2 linked regions of the Caenorhabditis elegans genome follow. The protein of the gene in region 1 interacts with the protein of each later gene in a pairwise test. Each region holds a gene or a part of one and is shown in the gene's direction. Other genes may lie near its edges.

What was found.
Region 2: the proteins of cope-1 (region 1) and copa-1 interact in a two-hybrid assay, tested with the Caenorhabditis elegans proteins (one large-scale study listed by BioGRID).

What each region holds. Positions count from the first base shown.
Region 1 is NC_003281.10:13,424,648-13,428,518, forward strand, and holds cope-1 (Coatomer subunit epsilon), read left to right. Parts: upstream 1-1,616; 5' UTR 1,617-1,706; coding exon 1,707-1,781; intron 1,782-1,830; coding exon 1,831-1,929; intron 1,930-1,977; coding exon 1,978-2,154; intron 2,155-2,208; coding exon 2,209-2,535; intron 2,536-2,581; coding exon 2,582-2,665; intron 2,666-2,816; coding exon 2,817-2,933; 3' UTR 2,934-3,074; downstream 3,075-3,871. Other genes in the region: exo-1 (Exonuclease 1), read left to right, coding at 1-252, 306-401, 457-530, 581-662, 712-1,199, 1,261-1,453; Kunitz-type protein bli-5, read right to left, coding at 3,076-3,290, 3,737-3,871. UniProt on the Caenorhabditis elegans protein: The coatomer is a cytosolic protein complex that binds to dilysine motifs and reversibly associates with Golgi non-clathrin-coated vesicles, which further mediate biosynthetic protein transport from the ER, via the Golgi up to the trans Golgi network.
Region 2 is NC_003279.8:2,894,604-2,902,480, reverse strand, and holds copa-1 (Coatomer subunit alpha), read left to right. Parts: upstream 1-1,620; 5' UTR 1,621-1,679; coding exon 1,680-1,725; intron 1,726-1,777; coding exon 1,778-2,783; intron 2,784-3,629; coding exon 3,630-4,831; intron 4,832-5,359; coding exon 5,360-5,667; intron 5,668-5,720; coding exon 5,721-6,579; intron 6,580-6,641; coding exon 6,642-6,919; 3' UTR 6,920-7,152; downstream 7,153-7,877. Other genes in the region: gst-43 (maleylacetoacetate isomerase), read right to left, coding at 20-100, 147-326, 974-1,038, 1,080-1,140.

The sequences.
Region 1 (3,871 bases):
AAATTTTTCTCCATGACATCAATCAAGGATCTCAGAACTTTGCTCCGAAAAGTTCCATCATACCTGAAAAATCCTAAGCTCAAGGAGCACGTGAACGATGAATTCATTCGAAATTTCGAAAAGGCGGAAAATACATTCAAACATCAAATTGTATTTGATCCTAGAGAACGGTGCCAGAAGCCGTTGACACCGTACCCAAAAGAAGTTTTGATGACTGGAGTCGACGATCTGGAGGAGGTTATAGACTTGGATGTAGGCTCATCAAGCTTATCTAGTCACTAATATCGTTTAAATGTGAATTTCAGTCACCAAAGAAGACGGCTCCAAGCTCCAAAAGTTTCGCGTATGCAGGAACAGCTTCTACTCAGCGAATCGCTATTCGGTTAGCGCTAGGAAATCCGGTTAGCAATTCTTTAGGAGCATATAGTTTTATTACATAACTTGAACATTTTTCAGGAAAACAAGAGCTCAATCGACGATCAGTTTCTTCTAGTTCAGCCAACCCCGGAATGGAGTGTCTGGGGATTACGGTAGAAATATAACTTTGAAATAGTAGTGAATACTCTATTAAATAATTAAGATATGAAAGCAAAGGAAGCACACTAGACAAGATCAGCAAACAGAAAGAGTTAGAAGCTACGCAATGTGGTGGAGCTTTCAAGGTAAGAAGAATGAAAATCTCAAAATTTTGGACGATATAAAATTTTCCAGCTCGATTCGCCGTCTGTGAAGCGTGTCAAAGTTGCTTCGAAAACTACCCCAAACGATGACGAAGATGACATTGTGAAGCAATTCATGGCAGATATCGAAAAAGAAAAGAAGGCTATCAAAAAACGGAAAAATGCGCCTCAAGTGGACTATAATGCTGATGTTCTTCTCAAAAAGTATGCAGAACCACCACCGGAGAAGAGACAAAAGATTCTGGAAGTAATCGATGATGATTTCTCGGAATTTTTTCAAGAAAAAGTGAAAGAAAATACCAAGGAAAGTGTTGCCGAGGAAAAAGTTGAAAATAGCAACGAAGAGCTGAAGCCTCCTCCGATTCTTCGAAAAGCGGTTTCAACTCCTGATTCGGCAAGAAAAACTCACAAATTTCAATCGCCGCTTCTCAATCATCAAAATTCGGCTCCTCCGTCGTTGCCGGATAGAAAACCTGCACAAACTTCCAAGTATTTCTCTAAACCAACTTCAGAAAATGGGCGAGTTACAAAACAATCCGCTTGTGAATTAATAAAAATATAATCTAAATACTTTTTTCAGAGTTCCCAAAACGAAAAATCCATTCCGATGTCCTGCATTTGTCAAACCAACGCAAAAAGTTGAAGAAAAAATCGAGAAAACTACGATTCTCGCTGCATTGGAAGAGAACAGTGTTCCGATGCCTAGTTCAAATACCACATATCGATTTGTTGGCTTTAAATCCGCAGGACTCCGTAGAAAATCGAAGCAATAATTTTTTAAAAACTTATTTTCGTTATTATCATTTTATACCGGTTTTTTGTTACGTAAAATATTCGTTTTGTGCCTTTTTCCGAAAATAAATTATTTTCTTCTTTTATTGAAAGTCCGCAATATTACATTGCGCGTGAAGTATGGTGTTTTGTCCGCAAATATTTTGAAGTGACGTGGTGAATTTTTCACCGATTTAATCGAGCTTTTATTCTCGATTCTAAATATCTCCCCTTTTTCAATAGAGATTTCAAAAAATGGCTGACAAGTTGTTCTCGATTCGCAATTATTTCTTTCTCGGAAGTTATCAGTCTTGTATTGGAGAGGCTTTGGTGAGAAATCTTGTTTCCTTCGATTTCCTGGTTTATTTTAATATTTCAGAAGTTCTCATCGAAAAACGAAGAGGAAAAGCAGGAGAAGGATGTTTATTTGTACAGATCGTATATTGCACAAGGACAAGCTTTTATTCCATTGAAAGAGGTAGTTATTGATTAATGAGCAAGCCTGAACTCTTTTATTTATTTTAAGATCCCAGCCGCCACGAAGTCTGCTGATTTAGCTGCTGTTCGCAGGTACGCCGAATTCCGCAACAATCCAGCTGCCAAGAAGAAGATTCTGGCTGAAGTTCAAGAAGAAGTTGCCTCAAGAAACATTAAATCAGAAATCGCAGCTGTTCTTGCCGCTACTATTCTCAATGAAGCTGATGTGAGATATTTATACATTTAATGTTATTTTAAAATTACCAAGAATGAATTTCAGCTCTCCCAAGACGCATTCCGTGCAGTTTCCCGTTTCGAAGGTCTCGAGGCTCGTGCCTCCAAGGTGTTTATTCTCATTAAAATGAACAAGCGGAAGCTTGCAATTGGTGAAGTGAAGAAAATGAATCAAATCGACGAGGACGCTACTCTTTCTCAACTCGCAAATGCTCTCGTCACCTCGTTCGGTGCATCTGGAAAAGTAAAAGATGCTCTTTACATTTACAGCGAAATGTCTGATAAATACGGAAGAACTACTGATTTGGAGATGCATCAAGCTGTTGTTAGTATTTTGACTCAAGACTATGCTGCTGCAGAGGAGCTTTTGGAGGTGAGAGAATAGAAATTTAAGTTAATTAATAATTTTATATTTTCAGAGTGCTCTGGAAAGAGATAACAAAGATGCTGATGTGCTCATCAACTCAATCGTTTCCGCCCAGCTCAACGAAAAAGATGACGATGTTAGTTTCCTTCACTTTAAAACCTGAAAAAAGTGTAATTTTCCCAATTTAAAAAATGTTTAAACTCAATTTTTTTTAAGAAATTCAAAAATTTAAAGTTATTTTTTAATGATTCCAAAAATTTAACAATATTAAACTGAATATTTTTCAGGTCGTCGAACGTTTCATCTCTCAGCTGAAGCATGAGCATCCAAATCATCCATGGGTTATCGATTTCAATGAGAAGGAAGCCGAATTCGATAGAGTCGCCAGCGATTCCAGAGCCTAATTTCCATAATCTCTTATTTATTTTCTGAAATACGCCCTCTCTCAATGTGATTTCTTTGGTTTCTAATTATGCACGTCTATTGGTTGAAAAAATCGATGTAAAAATTATGAGAAAAATAAATTAAAGTGTGGAACCAAAAACCTCAGAAAAGATGAAAGTTGGACTGATGATAATTAGTAATTCCATTTATCGAACCGATACAGTAATCCTCACAATGTGCGCGAGTTTTGAAATTGTTTGCCGATGACGGCCTTTCGGGATTCCATTTGAATTCAATACATTGTTCACCATCGAATCCCCATCTAGACAGATATCCATCATCCGGATGATCGAATATTGGGTGGACGCATGTTTTGGCTGAAATTTTGATTTTAAAAAATTCTGAGATTTTTGCGATAAAAATATGGTCTCGACACGACAAACTTTTGTTAAATGCGAAAAGATGTGCGCCTTTAAGGAGTACTGTAGTTCCAAACTTCTGCTGTTGCGGACTTTTCATCGATTTTCTGATGATTTGTTAAATTTGTGAAATTTTACAGTACCCCTTGAAGGCGCAAACCTTACCCAATTTAAATTAATAAAAATTTGTCGTGTCGAGACCGTCTGCCGTATTTTTAACGGAAAGCATCTAAATTTTCATAATATTTCCTGCCTACAAGGCGGCCTACGCACACGAGCCTTGCTCTAATTTATTGAAATAAATACTGTGCACACACCAACCACGGGATACTATGTGAAAACATAGGCAGGCCCGCGTGAAAGGCAGAAAGTGTGCCTACCATGATCAAAAAGGGAATATATACCTCTATCAGGACAACAAACTCCATCCAATGCTCCAAGAATTGATAATCCCTGAATACATTCAAATCCTTCTGGACACGTATCTGGCTTCTTTTTACTCGAACATTTCACCGGTTCTCCATCTTTTCGGTACATTA
Region 2 (7,877 bases), on another chromosome or scaffold:
ACACCACGTGAGAACCCACAAAGTCACCGTATCCCGGCTCCTTTTCATTGAGCATTTTGTGGATATTGATTGCTTGAAGTGGCTGAATACTTGCGACTATCTGAAAAGAGCTCGCTTAGAGTTGTTAAAGAATGTTAAAAGCTCACATGAAGTGCGATAGCTCTTGAATACGATCTCTTATCCAATTCTTTTGGAAGGAACGGAGGATCCGGATAGGCTTCATCCAAATATTCGATTATTGCCAAGCTTTCTGTCAGTGATAAGCCATTTATCACTAAAGTTGGAACTTTTTTCGCTGGGTTGTGCTTGACGAACTCTGCATTGTTCTGAAATACAGCTATATTTCTATGGAAGTGGGAGTAGGGCAGGGGTGGATGGCAAATTGCCGGTTTGCCGGAAATTTTCAATTCCGGCAATTTACCGATTTACCGTTTGCCGAATTTTACCGATTAAAATTGAAATTCTGAAATTTCCAGAAAAAAATGTGCAAAACCACAAGTTGCCGAAAGTTTTCGGCAAATTGTGTTTTTCCGGCAAATCAGCGATTTGCCGTTCTGCCGAATTTTGCCAGAAATTTTCAATTCCGGCAATTTTCCAATTTACCGGAAATTTTCAATTCTAGCAATTTGCTGGAAATTTCAATTCAGGCAATATGCCGAATTTGCCGAAAATTTTCAATTCCGGCAATTTTCCAATTTGCCCGAAAATTTTGATTTTCATTAAATTTTCGATTTGCCGGAAATTGTAATTTTGGGCAAATTGCCGATTTACCGTTGCCAAAAGTTTTCGACAAATTGTGGTTTTTTCCGGCAAATCGGCAATTTGCCGCTAGGCCGAATTTTGCCGGAAATTTAAATTTCGGCACTTTGCCGATTTGCCGAAAATTTTCAATCCCGGCAATTTGCCGCTCTGGCGAATTTTGCCGGAAATTTTCAATTCCGGCAATTTTCCAATTTGCCGGAAATTTTCTAACCTTGGATTCTTCAGAAAATAAGTCGATTGGCCGGTATTCGTAGTCGATATTTTTCAGAGCAAGTGCTATAAATCAGTATTTTATAGAATTTCCAAGCTAAAATTACCGATGCGAACTCTCCAGGCACACGACGAACGCCAATATGAATATAAAATCGGTTTTGCCATGGAGTTAGAAGCTTCTAAAGAAGAAAATTGAAATATTTAAGCAATAAATGACATTTTGAGAAGAAATTAAATATGAACACGTGGGAAAAATCTTCAAAAACCCTAATTTTTCAGTTAAAAACTACTTTCTCCGAATAAAACCTCCATTTTCCTCAATTTTCAGCACTTTTTTATGTCAATTCCCACTTAAAATTCCCCTTTAACGGTCATTTTTCCTAAACTGTGCAGTTTCGCGTCGCCGTGTTTGCACACATTCCGTTTGATGCGCAGGTTTCCACGTTGTCCTCTTTTCTCCATTTTCTGTCTCTTTTAACGTGGATTTACCGATTTTTATCTCTGAAATTCTTAATTTTTATGGTATTTTTCGTAGTTTCTTTATCAATTTAATCGAAATTCCAAGTTTTTTCATTGATTTTTTGCATTTTTGTCTGTTTTTTTTAAACATTCTTATATATCCACGTGTCATTTCCATAATTTCAGAACCTTCATTCACGCCGAGGAGCAGTTTTTGACTGGTTACCGACTATAAATCGGATATCATGTCGCTCCTTATCAAATTTGAATCAAAATCCGCTAGGGTTAAAGGTAAATATTTTGGTTTTTGGCATTATTTTTCAATAATTTCCCAATTTTCCAGGAATTTCGTTCCACCCAACTCGGCCATGGGTGCTCACATCGCTGCACAGTGGAGTCATTCAACTCTGGGACTACCGAATGTGCGTTCTTCTCGAGAAGTTCGACGAGCACGATGGTCCAGTGAGAGGAATTTGCTTCCATCATGATCAGCCGATCTTTGTGTCTGGAGGAGATGATTATAAGATTAAAGTGTGGAATTACAAGCAGAAACGCTGTATTTTCACACTTCTCGGACATTTGGATTATATTCGTACCACTTTCTTCCATCATAAGTATCCATGGATCATTTCTGCGTCCGACGATCAAACGGTTCGGATTTGGAATTGGCAGAGCCGAAACTCGATCGCCATCCTCACCGGACACAATCACTACGTCATGTGTGCTCAATTCCACCCAACCGAAGATCTTGTGGCTTCTGCCTCCTTGGATCAGACCGTCCGTGTTTGGGATATTTCTGGACTTCGGAAGAAGCAAATGCCTGGTGGAGGTGCTCCAAGCCGGCCAACCGGAGGGCAACAAGCTGAGCTATTCGGGCAACCTGATGCAGTTGTGAAGCATGTGCTAGAGGGACACGATCGTGGAGTCAACTGGGTTGCATTCCATCATACCAATCCAATTCTAGTCTCGGGATCCGATGATCGTCAAGTCAAGATTTGGCGTTACAATGAGACGAAAGCCTGGGAGCTCGACTCGTGCCGTGGACACTACAATAACGTCTCATCTGTGATCTTCCATCCAAATGCTGACTTGATTCTTTCCAACTCGGAGGATAAGTCGATTCGTGTGTGGGATATGCAGAAGCGTACCAGTCTTCACGTTTTCCGACATGAAAATGAGCGTTTCTGGGTTTTGGCCGCCCATCCAAGCTTGAACATGTTCGCCGCAGGACATGACAATGGAATGGTCGTTTTTAAAATTCAAAGAGAACGCCCGGCTTATTGTGTCAGTGATAATTTGGTTTTCTATGTGAAGGGACAACAAATTCGCAAGCTCGATTTGACAACCAAGTGAGTAGTTTGATGCCAAGAAAAGTGTGCCGCAAAATGCATTTTTGCACAGAATTAGCGTTTTTTTTTTGCGAAAAAAAGCGTGCGAGAGTTGCGAAAATGCATTTTCCGGCGCACTGAATCATGTTTTTGTGGAGTCTCAGTAGTTTTTAAATGAAAAACTTTAAATGTGCCCCATTAAGCGAATTTCGTATTTAGAGCCTCCAAAAAATCGGAAAAAAGGCGTAATTTCAATAGCTAAATTCTCCAACTTCCACTGAAAATAGCAGAGTTTTTTTTGAGATTTATCAAATTTTTAGCTTTTCAAAAAATGTTTTCTGCTTTTTACGAACAAATCTTTTGTTAAACAATGAAAATCGAATTTAAAATGACTAAAATTAACTTTTTCCGTCCACTGGTTGTGAAATGGGTTGAAATTGAAGAAATCAACGGGATTTTTCTGATTTTCTGAATATTTTTCTATTAGAAATCGGTTTTAAACCATTTTTTTTTACTAAAACCGATTTTTAATAGGAGAATATTTAGAAAATGAGAAAAATCCCGTTGATTTCTTCAATTTCAACCCATTTCACAACCAGTGGACGAAAAAAGTTAATTTTAGTCATTTTAAATTCGATTTTCACTGTTTAACAGAAGGTTTGTTCGTAAAATGCAGGAAAAAAATTTTTAAAGCTAAAAATTTGATAAATCTAAAAAATCTGTTATTTTCAGTACGAAGTTGGAGATCTTAGCTAAATTTAGAGCTTTTCTCCGGAAATTTTGAGGACTCTCACTACAAAATTCGTTATTTTTTGTACATTCAGAGGGGATGTACAAGCAAAAACCCCTCTAAAATCAAATTTTCAGCAAGGATGTTGCTCTGTGCAAGCTCCGTTACCCACAACCATTCATGCAACCATACTACTCTCTTTCCTTCAATCCTGCCGAGGGAACCTTCCTTCTCACAAGCCGTACTCACAATAAGGATCTATGCGCCTTTGAGCTGTACAAAGTTGCCAGTAACTCTGATGGAACCACTGAAGCTGCGTGCGTCAAGAGCACCGGAATCAATGCACTTTGGGTTGCTCGTAATCGTTTTGCAGTTCTTGACAAGGCTCAGAATGTGTCGTTGCGTGATTTGACGAACAAGGAACTTCGCAAACTCGAGAATATCAACACGGCTGTCGACGATATTTTCTATGCCGGAACTGGAATGCTCCTTTTGAGAAATGATGATGGGCTTCAACTGTTTGATGTTCAGCAAAAGATTGTGACTGCTTCAGTGAAAGTGTCGAAAGTTCGTTATGTGATTTGGAGCAAGTCTATGGAATTCGCAGCTCTTCTTTCAAAGCACACGCTGACCTTGGTCAACCGTAAATTGGAGATTCTGTGTACCCAACAGGAGTCGACTCGTGTGAAGAGTGGAGCTTGGGATGATGACTCGGTATTCCTCTACACCACTAGCAATCACATCAAATATGCAATCAATTCTGGAGATTGTGGAATCGTTCGTACTCTGGATCTTCCTCTGTACATTCTGGCTATTCGAGGAAACGTGCTCTACTGCTTGAATCGTGACGCTACACCAGTTGAAGTTCCAATTGATAATTCTGATTACAAGTTTAAGCTTGCTTTGATTAACAAACGAATCGATGAAGTTGTCAACATGGTTCGATCCGCAAATCTCGTCGGTCAATCCATCATTGGATATCTCGAGAAAAAGGGTTACCCAGAGATTGCTCTTCACTTTGTCAAGGATGAGAAGACTCGCTTCGGGTTGGCAATTGAATGTGGAAACCTGGAAATCGCGTTGGAAGCCGCCAAGAAGCTCGACGAGCCAGCAGTCTGGGAGGCTCTCGGAGAGACTGCTCTTCTTCAAGGCAATCATCAAATTGTTGAGATGAGCTATCAACGAACGAAAAACTTTGAGAAGCTCTCGTTTTTGTATTTTGTTACTGGAAATACGGATAAGCTTGTCAAGATGATGAAGATTGCACAGGCTAGAAATGATGCTCACGGACATTTCCAGACAGCTCTCTACACTGGTGATGTTGAGGAGAGAGTTAAAGGTAAAAATGTGCAGCTGGATTTCAGAAGGGGGCAAAAGTCAAAGTTTTATTGATTTTTAGCTCCTCTTTGCGTATTTTTTTCGTGAATTTCTGCAAATTCTAGACGATTTTGAAATTATTGAACCTAAAAATGGTCCAAATCTACCGAATATCGTCATGAGATTTCTCAAAAAAAAATTTGGAAATCTACCAATTTTCAGCTAAAATCTCATATTTTGCCAACTTTTCAGTTTCGCAGCTGACGGAACTTGATTTTTATTCAATTATCGCTATTTAATACGTATTTTGGTCGTTTTAACGAATAAAAGTGTGATAGACGACCAAAATATGTATTAAAAAGTAATAATCAATGACACACTAAAGTTGGCAAAATTTGAGATTTTAGCTGAAAATAGGTTTTTTTCCAAATCTCAAAACCGCCATAACTTTTTTTGTGAGTTTTCAGAAACTTTTCAGGATTTTTCATGACGAAATTCGTTACTTTTTGGGTCATTTTCAACAAAATAAAGTATAAAGTTAATTTTTCAGTGCTCCGAAACTGTGGACAAACTTCTCTGGCCTACCTCGCCGCAGCCACTCATGGATATTCTGCTGAAGCTGAGGAGTTGAAGGCTGAACTCGAGAGTCGTCAGCAACCAATCCCACCAGTTGATCCAAATGCTCGCCTCCTTGTCCCACCACCACCAGTTGCTCGTTTAGAAGAGAATTGGCCACTTCTTGCCTCGGCTCGAGGAACTTTCGATGCACAGCTTCTTGGATTAGGAGGACAATCTGCTCCAACTAATGTTGGCGGTGTGAAGCCTGCTGCTGCTGCCTTTGCTGTTATGGATGATGATGTTAGTTTATTGATTTCTGAGCTATCTGAGCTATAAAATATTAATTTTTGCAGGATGGTGATGTTGGAAATGAAGCATGGGGAGATGATGAGTATCTTGTCGGAGAAGATGGTGAACTTGATGTTGATGAAGGAGAAGGACCAGTTGATGGAGATGAGGAAGGTGGATGGGATGTGGATGATGATCTGGCTCTTCCTGATGTTACCGATGATCAAGGTGGAGATGATGATGAGGAAGTGGTTCCTAACCCAGCTCCAGCTGTCTCATCGGAATGGCCGAATGTTTCTCGTCTTGCTGCTGATCATGTTGCAGCTGGTTCATTCGGAACTGCCATCAAGCTTCTTCATGATACAATTGGAGTCGTTGAAGCAGCACCATTCAAGGATGTATTCGTGAAGGCTTATGCAGCTTCTAGACTCTCACATCGTGGATGGGGAGGACTCGGACCAGCTGGACCAGTGTCCATTCATCCGGTTCGTAATTTCCAGGAGGATAAGAATCATCTTCCAGTCGCTGCGTTCAAACTTTCTCAACTTGCAAAGAAACTGCAAAAGGCTTATCAAATGACGACGAATGGAAAGTTTGGAGATGCTGTCGAGAAACTGCGGGAGATTCTTCTATCTGTTCCACTGATCGTTGTGTCTTCGAAACAAGAAGTCGCCGAAGCGGAGCAGCTCATCACAATCACACGGGAATATCTTGCAGCACTTCTCCTTGAAACTTATCGAAAAGATTTGCCAAAAACGAATTTGGAGGATGCGAAACGCAACGCCGAACTAGCTGCCTACTTTACACACTTTGAGCTTCAACCAATGCATCGTATCCTGACACTGAGATCTGCTATCAATACTTTCTTCAAAATGAAGCAAATGAAGACTTGTGCATCACTTTGCAAACGTCTATTGGAGCTCGGTACGTGCTTGCGTTGTTGATTTTTTTAAATTTTATTTCTAATTCTTAATTTTTTTTTCCAGCTCCAAAACCAGAAGTTGCTGCTCAAATCCGAAAAGTGCTGACTGCCGCCGAGAAGGATAACACTGACGCGCATCAGTTGACCTATGATGAGCATAATCCATTCGTCGTGTGCTCTCGTCAATTTGTGCCTCTTTACCGTGGACGTCCACTCTGTAAATGCCCGTATTGTGGAGCATCGTACTCTGAAGGGCTCGAGGGAGAAGTGTGCAACGTGTGCCAGGTTGCAGAAGTTGGAAAGAATGTTCTTGGGCTCCGAATCTCAACTCTGAAGAGCTAAAAGTTGTGAAATATGATAATTTTTTCGTTTTTTGTGTGATATTAATTATTGTAATTTATTTGCCTTGTTCTTCCACAATTCCCATTGCTTTTGGTCCCTTCATATTATTTTCCCGTTGGGCGGCGGTTCATGTTTTCTATTTAAATTATGTGTTTTTAAAAATTATTTAAACCCCACAGAAAGATTATGATTGCATGCTGGTCTATTTTATTTGAATAAATCATGATTTTTTTACTTTTTTTCATTTATCTTTGGGGTAAGAAAATGTTCTCTAAATCAGTAATTTACATGGAGAAATTTGCTCGAAAAAATTCAAAAAAAATACAGTAAGAAAATTGTCGTAAAGTCTAGGGTTTTGGTATTGCGGACTACGACAAAATGCACACAAACCATTTTGGCACCGGAAAAAGGCAAAAGCCAGGATTTTATCGCGTTTTGGCTCATTTTTCTTGCAAATTTCCATGGAATTCAGTTAACATATACCTAATTATTCAGTTATTTCGAATTAATCAATAATTTTCAGTGAATTTCGCAATTTCTAAGTGGTCCAATGATGTCTGTCCACATATTTCCTTGAAAACTGATTGTTTTATCGGAATTTATTGATTTAAAATAATATATATAATAAAATCTGAATTTTAGAATCATTTTTGACGTGGAAAAGACCCGAAAAATCCAAAAATCACGAATAAACTGAACAATTAAGGTATTAATTTTTGATCCCCCACCCCCAGTTTCTCAGTTTCTCAGCAAAGGATTAAAACAATTGTTCTTCTTCTTTTCCCCCTACAAGAATTTCCTGTGAATTTCAATCGTAAAAATATCGATTTTCTGTTTATTCTTTGGATGAGTCACCGCACTCGCCGATTGTTTAACTAGTGCAGTTCGGCAGTTTTACGTTATTTTTTCACGATTTTTTGGATTCTGATCCTCTAGGTGACTTGAAAATACCGAATTT